4 linked regions of the Saccharomyces cerevisiae S288C genome follow. Each later gene encodes a partner of the first gene's protein in a complex. Each region holds a gene or a part of one and is shown in the gene's direction. Other genes may lie near its edges. The genes, in order: RPA12, RPB8, RPC19 and RPA14.

Region 1 (2,671 bases):
ACCTTATTAATTTATAATGTCTAATTTATTATAATATTCCTTCACCTAAACACTTCAAATTGGACCTCACGCAATATAGCGCCTTCTAGACCCTTGCCCAAATTACCCAGCAACTCTACGCTTTCATTGAGAGAATCAAGCGAACTCTCATCATCATCCTGTGAACCTTTAGGTTTTTTACCGTTAAATTTATAAATGCCAGAACTTCCTGCAAAAATCGTGGTACCATCTTCAGTACCACATCTGTTAGCTAGCACCAAAATCGCATTCTTTCCTTGGAACTTCCAAGGCTGTCCAAGGGAGGTTCCCAAAAATGTCTTTTCCAGTACTGTATCCTTTATCACTTCCTCAGAATCCAATAAGTCTATTGTGTCCTCCTTGTGCTTTCCATCTTTATAATATTCATGATCTAGGGGCATTCTAGTTTTGCCCAAAATGCTTTCGATAAGAGATGAATTTTTAAACCAATTAATTCTGGATTTAAAGTACAAAAAAGGAAAAAATCGTAGAATCCAGTAGTTTACGTTTGACATATCTGGTTCATCCATATCCTTATATTCACTTGTACTGTCGTCAGAAGGCACTCTGGGCGTACGTTGCGAATCACCAATTTTAAGCTGGTAAATTCCTTGAGATCCTGCCAAAGGCAACCCTTGCTCCTTTAAAGCGAAAGCTATTTTGTTCTTAGCGGCTTCTAATAATGAATTGTTATGTAACGTCTGTTTGTCTGTGATAGAAGTAGAGTTTAACCACGCCATTGGACATAGAATCAATTCAACATTATTGTCAACGCAAAAAGAAGAGAATTCAAAGTGATTAAAGGGGGCCATGAATTTGTAGGGACTTAAGTCCATACAAATACCTATTGATGCTTTCAAAGTCACATCTCTGTTGTAAGAGTCCTCATTAGAAAGCTTAGCACACTTTGAAAAATCCATGGGAAACGTCTGAAATCCCTCTGGATTCTCCTCGCAATCCCAATTCATTTCTGTATCATAGAGAAAAGTCTTTCTGTAATTAAAGATCTGCTCCCCCTGCGGATTTACTACCAGGGCAGAATTGTATAGCTTCTGTTCATCATCATCTTCAGGATATCCTATTATAGTGTAGCATTGAAATTTCTCGGATATTGATTTAGCCAGTTCAAAAGAGGGCCCTTCATCTTTCTTAGTAACATAAGGTAAAATATCTTTTCTGGCATGAAAACTGTAACCTGTCAATGCAAATTCGGGGAATAGTATTATGTCTGGTTTCACATAGGTGGCACTTTTCGTAACTTTATCCAATATTGACCATGTTCTCTTAATTGTTTGATCTACTTGCCCAATTTGCGGATTGAGTTGAATTACTAGTACCTTTAGTGATACTAAAAGTTTTGTGCTCATCTTAGCACCATGAATTGCGTCTATTAGCATTCACTGAATGTCACGATAGAGTTATCGCTGTAAACTAGCACTTTTTAGCATTGAAATGCTTAAAATGTGTGAAACTAAAGTGGTTTTATTTCCAAAGAAGGGTTATCCCTTACTAGGGCAACGAATGAATATCTATTAGGGCTATAAAACAAAAATAGTTAAGTGAGATATATACCCTCTTGAATGGTGCAGGGTAAATAATTATATATCGTTACGAACGAAAGATGAAAAATATGAAAAAAAAAAAAATCAAATTTATGTCAAGTGAAGGGCATTGCATGGCAAGTGTAAAGAATCCAAGAAGAAAAGAAAGGCTTAAAGCAATCCAGGTTAGTACTTATAAGAATGTCTGTTGTAGGATCGTTAATTTTTTGCTTGGACTGTGGTGATCTCCTGGAAAATCCTAATGCCGTATTAGGCTCTAACGTTGAATGCAGCCAATGTAAAGCCATATATCCCAAGTCACAATTCTCCAATTTAAAAGTCGTCACCACGACGGCAGACGATGCGTTTCCATCTTCTCTTAGAGCCAAGAAATCCGTGGTTAAAACTTCTTTGAAGAAGAACGAACTGAAAGACGGCGCTACTATCAAGGAAAAGTGTCCTCAGTGTGGAAATGAAGAGATGAACTATCATACTTTACAGTTAAGATCTGCAGATGAAGGTGCTACTGTCTTCTATACATGCACTTCCTGTGGTTACAAGTTCCGTACCAACAATTGATTGGGTTGTGTTCGCACATATTACAATTTGTACATTAATATCATCCCCGCTTTCATCATGTGAACATCTATAGAACATCATTTATAAAAACAAAAAATCTATGTACTGACGATATAATAGCGTACATTATCATATTATTCTTACTATTTATCATACTCATCGCATCTACTGTTCTCGAGAACGTGTAAAGTGATTTATGCCATTGAATGAAAAATTTTGTTAAGGAACAACTAGAAATATAATAGTGTCTTGGTGGATGTGGCAAATGAGGTGTGCGTGATAAAGAGCTACAAACTCAAAGTAATAACAGCTATCATCCATTTTTATAGCAATATTTGAAAATGGCTGCTCGTCCACAACAACCTCCTATGGAAATGCCGGATCTGTCGAACGCCATTGTGGCACAAGACGAGATGGGTAGACCCTTTATTATCGTGAAGGATCAAGGTAACAAGAAGAGACAGCACGGATTAGAGGCCAAGAAATCACATATATTGGCTGCTAGATCAGTAGCTTCTATTATCAAAACTTCG
Region 2 (2,550 bases), on another chromosome or scaffold:
ACATATACAATGGCCAAAGAGAATGAAGAAAAAAGGAAGGGACTCAGTCAAATATTAGACGACAGTATCACTGAAGGAAGGGAACTGGTGCGAGGAGGAAAGGAGAAAATACGTAATGCAAGTGGTAATAAAACGGGAACAGGCTAGTTCTCGAGAAATGTGGCAACTGCAACCAAATGGAAGAGTCAAATGTAAGTTATAGAGGGTTCGCTTTCCACCTTAACCCATCGAACTGTCAATCATGTCGCTTCTTTAACCTGCCCCTTAACGTTACTAAGCAAAAACAAAAGGCAGACAAACTCAAGAAATAATTAAGCATAACCCGGAAAAGGAAACGCCAAACCACTATGGAATTATTCTTATTTCATTACAGGGTCCGCACCTTCCCAGTCTAGAAAGGCATGGTATGGAATTATGACTGCAACTTTATAGTGGTCAGATGTTTATATATGTACACCCATAATACAGATACACAGCATACTGCATATATCCGAGTCACCATGATTCTATTGTTTCAGAGTCCGGTTCAGGCCCAACGTTTTTTGGCGCCCTCGTTTTTTCCCTATGCGGAACCTACTATTAATAAGCACCTGGGGCCGGCCGGTGCAGCAGTATAGCAGTATATAACAACAGCAAAAGAAGCATATGTAGACAACGCTGAGGTTTCATTACAGCTCATACATCACCAACAAACATAGCACAGCATAGATGTTCGCCAGACTCGCTAATCCTGCCCACTTCAAGCCTCTCACGGGCTCCCACATAACAAGAGCTGCCAAAAGACTTTACCATCCTAAGGTAATTGACCACTACACAAACCCAAGAAACGTTGGGTCCATGGATAAGTCCTTAGCTAATGTCGGCACAGGAATCGTGGGCGCCCCTGCGTGTGGTGATGTGATAAAACTACAAATACAGGTGAATGATAAATCGGGTATTATCGAGAACGTTAAGTTCAAGACCTTCGGGTGTGGGTCTGCCATCGCTTCCTCCTCCTACATGACCGAGCTGGTACGCGGTATGTCACTTGATGAGGCCGTTAAAATTAAAAACACGGAAATCGCGAAGGAGCTAAGTCTTCCTCCAGTAAAACTGCATTGTTCCATGCTTGCAGAAGACGCTATCAAGGCGGCAATCAAGGACTACAAAACAAAGAGGAACCCCTCCGTTTTGCATTGAAAGAGAGGCGATACGATAATATGATAAAATACAAGAGGTCCTCTCTTTCCGGTTTTTTTTTTCTGGTTGTTTTATAGAAAGGGTTAAAAGAATAATTAGGTATAATAATAAGTAATTAATATCAGAAACAGTCATAATACTAGTGACATTATGTATCAAATTTTGACTTAGTTTTTTCATGTTCGTCAGACGTGATAGGTTTTCTCCAGGTCTTATTTTCATCTTTCATTTTCACATTTTTTTTTTTCTAAAGCGAAAACTAAGATGAAAAATTTCAGAATATTTAAACTGTGATGGCAGCTATAAAAGCCCAGTTGCCAGCTCATTGCTTCCATAACAACCGCAGCAATGTCTAACACTCTATTTGATGATATATTCCAAGTCTCGGAAGTTGATCCCGGTCGTTATAACAAAGTCTGCCGTATCGAAGCCGCATCTACCACTCAGGACCAATGCAAACTAACCTTGGATATAAATGTTGAATTGTTTCCCGTCGCCGCACAAGATTCTTTGACAGTGACTATTGCATCCTCTTTAAACCTCGAAGACACCCCAGCTAACGACTCTTCTGCGACAAGAAGCTGGAGACCTCCACAGGCTGGTGACAGATCCCTTGCAGATGATTATGATTACGTCATGTATGGTACCGCTTACAAGTTTGAGGAAGTAAGCAAGGATCTAATTGCCGTTTACTACTCATTCGGTGGCCTCTTAATGAGATTAGAAGGTAACTATAGAAATTTGAATAACTTGAAGCAAGAGAACGCTTATCTTTTGATTCGTCGTTAGCAGCATTGGACCGAGTGCTAAAAAAAAGGGCGATCACTTACTGCTACTAGTAATATAAATAATACTTTATAAAAGTGTAAGAATGCCATGTAAAATACTAAAAATTGAAAAAAAAAAAATAATATCATTATTGTACATGAAAACGACATCTAATCGCCTCACTACTAAAAACCTCTCACAAGACAAAACATAACATTAACAATCACACCGGCAAAAATCGCCATTTTTTGCCGTCTGTTGAACAATCCATCAAACTTCATTAATAGTATACCAAAGACGCCGAAGAAGAATCCGACACATATACCTAAAAGCAAGTCTTTGTTGTGCTTTATGTTAGCGATCGGCACAGAGTTAAACCTGTCTTCATTGCCGCCTCCGGCCCCATTCCCCTGAGCGGTCCCACTCCCGCTTTCCATCCACTGTTCCTCCAACTGTCTAATGTCATGGCCCTCATCATCTCTGTTGCCATTTTGAGCAAGTCTCTCCTCCTCCTCCTCCAAATCTCCATACGTGGCCCGAAACTGTTGCCTCAGCAGTTCGATTTCTTGCTCAGTAAATCCCACGGATCGTAGCCTATCAAAC
Region 3 (2,999 bases), on another chromosome or scaffold:
GTAAATAGCCCGCCAAGGTCGTATCCTACTGTAGTGAAGGGACCTTTAATTTTTGCATCTTTGATCAATGCGTACCTTAAAGATTCCGCAACCATCGCAATAGAGATTGGGGCGGGAGGAGAATCGCTCAACCCGTACCCTGGTCTATCGTATAGACAATATCTTTGAATTTTGTCTAAATGATATAGTTCCTCAATCCAGGTGGCAGAAAGGTAACCAGTATCATAACCTCCGTGTTCAAACAAGATGATAGGTTGCTTCTTATTTTCAGACAAATCTGTGTTGTTTTCTTGATCAAATACGTCACCATAACAAGTTATATGCAACTGATAGGTTTTAGCGGCATCTACGTAATGGAACGCCTCGTACGAGGGCGACTGAACGGTTATTGGTAATTTGTGAGTCAATCTGTAGGTATCCAATGTCGTTAAAAGTGTATTCAGGGTGAATAAAGCGAAGAATATTAAAATTAAAAACTTAATAGTATTCCTGAACCCAATGGATACCCATTCTGTCAATGTATGTTTGTTTTGGACCAGCTGCGAGCGGTGGGTGGGGGTTGGCGACCCAGAGCCATATTGGCTTCTGTCCCTGTTTTCGGTACTATTTGTATGGTTTTCGTTGAAAGTACTAATATTAGCATCATCAATTCTGCGTTCCTCCAATGGCTCATTTATTGAGTTGTTGTAAAACAAGAGATACCAATCTAATATTGCCCCAATAAAAAATGAAAACGAAGTCCACAAATATGTAAACGTGCCCACAAAGCCGATTCTTTGCCTAGTGTATTTAATTAGATAGGTCAATGCTAGATTGAACAACGTCAAAACACAGAGAGTTACATTTAAGCTGTAATCTAAAGCTGAGTACAGTCCCAGCTTATTAAACCAGAGATTGAAAGAATTAGCTATGATCGAGATGAATATTAAAGTCAAGTCGTTAAAACTTGCGTACCTGTTACTGAATCCGAAAAGAATATTGATATTGAAAAAGAAATCTGAAATCAAAGTGGTGACTAGCCAGATGGTGTTAATTAGAATTAGGATATTTAATATCCATTTGGAGTTATGAATAAAGATTCTATAACCTTTGCGAATTTGAAAGAGACTATCTTTGATGAACCCATCGGATTCAATGTCACGACCTTCATTAACTGCTGGGCCATTCGCGGATCCTGCACCAAGGGTCCGGTGGTTGTTGTTCAGCAACGGTTGCGCTTCTGGGTGTTCACTATCTATATCTGTTCTTTCCATTCCCGTCCTTGCCGGATCATTATCTAAACCATTAGCCTTCATGATCTGTTCGCTCTGATGCCTACAGTTCTTTCTTCAATGGCTTTCCTTTCCTTTCCTCCTTATAGAATATAGCAAGGCATCTAACTTTTAGTTTTTCTCTCATCCCTTTAAACTGCACGATGGTTAAAATTAGGGGTCCGAATAGCCTTGCAAGGAATAGATTAAAGAACACTATATATGCATAGCCACTTCAAAACGTGCTGAGAACATGCCATCAAGGTTGACCAATACGATTGCTGATTCGACAACTTCTACATTACATAGGCATATACATATCAGAAAAACGTGCTTTATAGGTACATTTTTTAATTCCTTAAACATAACTTGCTTCTATTTTGGGATAGTTCCTTTTCTTTGAACTACGTTTTTTGGGCAGAAATATAAAAAAAAACCGAAAAAAACGGCACGCAAGAAAGCTTATTCAAAAAGACGCAACAATATCATAGATTATTCTAAGTACCAACAACGTGATAAACTTTGTTCTAATAAAGCTACATCTTATCTCTTCTGTACAGCTTTATTGGGGTGAATCATATTTACTTCAATCCGGGTAATGGTAAACGTAACAAGTGATAGAAATATTCACCTGCGATGAGCTGGAAAAAAAAAAAATTTCAAAAGAAAACCATACTAATGCTGAGGTATAAAGTAACGAATTGGGGAAAGGCCATCAATCCAAAGTCGGAAAAATTGAACTTCACATAAAGTACCAGGCAAATGACTGAAGACATCGAACAAAAAAAGACCGCTACAGAGGTAACACCACAAGAACCAAAGCACATCCAAGAAGAAGAAGAACAGGATGTTGATATGACTGGCGATGAAGAACAGGAAGAGGAACCAGACAGGGAAAAAATTAAGCTTCTCACACAGGCAACATCTGAAGATGGAACTAGTGCCTCTTTTCAAATTGTAGAGGAGGATCACACGCTTGGAAATGCCCTTCGTTACGTTATAATGAAAAATCCAGACGTAGAATTTTGTGGTTACTCGATACCTCATCCTTCTGAAAACCTATTAAATATCAGAATTCAAACCTACGGTGAAACGACCGCGGTGGATGCTCTTCAAAAAGGGCTAAAGGACTTGATGGATTTATGTGACGTTGTAGAATCTAAGTTTACTGAAAAAATCAAGAGCATGTAGATGTTACGGATCGACTCAAAGACCCTCTGTCACTCTGAAATTTCTAATAATTATGCACACCACGCTAGTATAGATACAGCTTGATTTGTGTATCCCGTTTATAGTCGTGCTATTTAAAATCTATGTATAATATAACCAGATAAAAATACACCTTCGTACAAGGTGCTAATAATGTTGAGAATTCGAAATTCCTTTTTAAAGGCGTATTCCGTATTGAATGATTGAAAAATTTATTTCTTTTTTTATTTCTTTTTTTTTTTTTTTTTTTTTTTTTTACGCCGATGCTCATCGCAGAAAATTTTTCCTTCAGTTTATTTGTCTTATAAAAAGACTGTCCTACGCTCAAATAACTTATACTTTTCTGTATCTCATTCAAATTATTTTCTTGTCAACAACCTGTAACAGAATTAAGCACTATTAAGGCAAATTTAGAGCAAATATGACTTACGGTGGTAGAGATCAGCAATATAACAAGACTAACTACAAGTCTAGAGGTGGCGACTTCCGCGGTGGAAGAAACTCTGATAGAAACTCTTACAATGACAGACCACAAGGCGG
Region 4 (2,528 bases), on another chromosome or scaffold:
TTGCGGCATTTCTAATATCATGGATACCTAAATTTTGAATCTTTTTTGATAATGAGTCCATTTTGTATGGTGTTGGTATTTATGCAATTGGAACGTTTAATTTGTGTATATGAATTTCCCTTCCGATTTGTATATTGGATAGAAATATAATTTTTTAAAAAAAGTAAACTATAAGCAGCCTGGAAAGATAAGCTAGACCAATTCTTATTGATAAAAAACTAAAGATAAATTCAACCGAAAACTAAAATCTAGATTGAAATTAAAACAAGAATGAATGAATGGATCAAAGGACCTGAATATGAAAAAAAGTGCAGGAGAAAGAAAATTTTCTCGCTGTGGAAAATAAGCCGAAAATCCGTTACCTAGAGGAAAGAAAGAAACGTGGGAAAAACAGGGGGCGGTACCCGGCGGCGTCAACTTAACAGGCATAACCTAGGCGGTAGTTGGCTAGTTGGCAAGCCTGGCAACATACTCCGATATAGGTAGGAAGAGTTAGTTATAAGAATTGATTGTCATACATACACATACCTTATACATATACATATAATTTAAGAGAGAATAGTTCGTTTCAATTTTTGCTGTATTGTTCCAGGCAGAGCGGTTATAATTCACCGGACTTGGCAACAACAATTCTAGCCTTGGTGGCACCGGAAGGAGAACCCAAGGACTCAACCTTCTTAACGATGTCGTAACCGTCAACAACTTCACCAAAGACAACATGCTTACCGTCCAACCATGGGCATGGAACGGTGGTGATGAAGAATTGAGAACCGTTGGTGTTTGGACCGGCGTTGGCCATGGACAACAAACCTGGTCTGTCGTGGTGCTTCTTGAAGTTTTCATCTGGGAATTTGCCACCGTAGATAGACTTACCGCCGGTACCGTTACCAGCAGTGAAGTCACCACCTTGCAACATGAAGTCTGGAATAACTCTGTGGAATGGAGAGCCAGCGTAGCCGAATCCCTTTTCACCGGTACATAGAGCTCTGAAGTTTTCTGCAGTCTTTGGGACTATGTCGTTGTACAACTTGAAAACGACACGGCCAATTGGTTGGCCATCAGCTTCGACATCAAAATAGACTTGGGACATGGTAGTATTAGCGGTTGAGTTTGGATTGAGTTGAGATATTAAATTCAAGACAAATCTTAATATAACCTATCTAGCGAAAAAGGAGGAACAAATGATGACGACAGTGGCAAAAGGATAGAAGGCTCAAGAGAATACGTTTATATTTATACAGGGAATCGAACAGACACTTGTCAGCGTAAGCCCAACCAAAGTGAGAAGGGCCACGGCCATTACCAGAGACAGAAATGAGTGGAAGCGCGTGGAAGCCCGTCTAGCAGAGGAAGAAATTCGAGACGAGGCGGGACGTGGCGGGCTGGGCGCCCCAGAAAATACCGTAGAGGACGAGGGGGGCGGTGGAAACCCCTAAGGGGCGAAAGGCGGGTAACATCTAACAGCGACGGGTAAGCATATTGCGGGTGTAAAATTTTTCATTTCGAGCTTACTTCAAGATGATGCATATGTTTAAATCACATTGATTATAGAGGTCTCATCGGTAAGGCAGAGCAGAACTGGAGACGTCTGAGGTAAGATTTCGATAATACAAGATGATGAAAGGTTCTAGAAGAACAGGTAATAACACTGCTACCACGCTAAACACGCCTGTGGTCATTCATGCCACGCAGCTGCCCCAACATGTCTCTACTGACGAGGTTCTTCAATTTCTGGAGAGCTTTATCGATGAGAAGGAGAACATTATTGATAGTACTACCATGAATACCATCAGCGGCAACGCCGCTGACGCGGACGCTGCCGCTGTGGCTAACACCAGCCTCAACATCGACACCAACCTTTCCAGCTCCATATCGCAATTAAAGAGGATTCAGAGAGACTTCAAGGGTCTGCCACCCGCCCAAGACTTTTCCGCCGCGCCCATTCAGGTCTCCACGACGGAGAAGAAGGAGACAAGCATAGGTGTTAGTGCCACCGGCGGCAAGAAAACTACATTCGCCGATGAGTGAGACCTGTAGCAGCAGCCTTGCCCTTTTACACAAAATCCTACATATCCATTCACATACGCCTTCTGTATACTACAATATATGCATATCAGTTAGAATTCTGACATCTGAACGTCTTCAGTGCTTTTTTTTCTCTTTCTTTCCAGATCCAAATATCACCGGCAGCGGCCTCAAAGTACCCGGTTTTCTTTTTTTTCACACTTTTTTTTTTTCCAAATCATGTTGTCAAGCATTGATTGACTCATTTTCCTCTGACTACTACCAGTTCAAAATGTTAGAGAAAAATAGAAAAGCAGAAAAAATAAATAAAAGAACCATATTTATTTGTTCATTCACTTTCGAGTATAAAATTAAATCTTGTTTTTCTTGTTTTCACTTAAGTACACATACAAATTAAATTGTAGAAATAAAGCGTTCTAAAATGGCTGGAAAGAAAATTGCTGGTGTTTTGGGTGCTACTGGTTCCGTTGGTCAACGTTTCATTCTGTTGTTGGCAAATCACC

The links.
Region 2: RPA12 (region 1) and RPB8 share a complex: the UniProt entries of both Saccharomyces cerevisiae proteins name them as parts of the RNA polymerase I (Pol I) complex.
Region 3: RPA12 (region 1) and RPC19 share a complex: the UniProt entries of both Saccharomyces cerevisiae proteins name them as parts of the RNA polymerase I (Pol I) complex.
Region 4: RPA12 (region 1) and RPA14 share a complex: the UniProt entries of both Saccharomyces cerevisiae proteins name them as parts of the RNA polymerase I (Pol I) complex.

The regions. Positions count from the first base shown.
Region 1 is NC_001142.9:553,435-556,105, forward strand, and holds RPA12 (DNA-directed RNA polymerase I core subunit RPA12), read left to right. Parts: upstream 1-1,760; coding exon 1,761-2,138; downstream 2,139-2,671. Other genes in the region: NTA1 (amidase), read right to left, coding at 42-1,415; chaperonin-containing T-complex subunit CCT5, read left to right, coding at 2,480-2,671. UniProt on the Saccharomyces cerevisiae protein: DNA-dependent RNA polymerases catalyze the transcription of DNA into RNA using the four ribonucleoside triphosphates as substrates. Component of RNA polymerase I (Pol I) which synthesizes ribosomal RNA precursors.
Region 2 is NC_001147.6:760,243-762,792, reverse strand, and holds RPB8 (DNA-directed RNA polymerase core subunit RPB8), read left to right. Parts: upstream 1-1,527; coding exon 1,528-1,968; downstream 1,969-2,550. Other genes in the region: putative iron-binding protein ISU2, read left to right, coding at 709-1,179; DSC3 (Dsc3p), read right to left, coding at 2,133-2,550. UniProt on the Saccharomyces cerevisiae protein: DNA-dependent RNA polymerases catalyze the transcription. of DNA into RNA using the four ribonucleoside triphosphates as substrates.
Region 3 is NC_001146.8:410,759-413,757, forward strand, and holds RPC19 (DNA-directed RNA polymerase core subunit RPC19), read left to right. Parts: upstream 1-2,012; coding exon 2,013-2,441; downstream 2,442-2,999. Other genes in the region: YNL115C (uncharacterized protein), read right to left, coding at 1-1,295; DEAD-box ATP-dependent RNA helicase DBP2, read left to right, coding at 2,881-2,999. UniProt on the Saccharomyces cerevisiae protein: DNA-dependent RNA polymerases catalyze the transcription of DNA into RNA using the four ribonucleoside triphosphates as substrates.
Region 4 is NC_001136.10:767,911-770,438, forward strand, and holds RPA14 (DNA-directed RNA polymerase I subunit RPA14), read left to right. Parts: upstream 1-1,614; coding exon 1,615-2,028; downstream 2,029-2,528. Other genes in the region: ENT5 (Ent5p), read right to left, coding at 1-61; peptidylprolyl isomerase CPR1, read right to left, coding at 602-1,090; YDR157W (uncharacterized protein), read left to right, coding at 2,021-2,422; HOM2 (aspartate-semialdehyde dehydrogenase), read left to right, coding at 2,447-2,528. UniProt on the Saccharomyces cerevisiae protein: DNA-dependent RNA polymerases catalyze the transcription of DNA into RNA using the four ribonucleoside triphosphates as substrates. Component of RNA polymerase I (Pol I) which synthesizes ribosomal RNA precursors.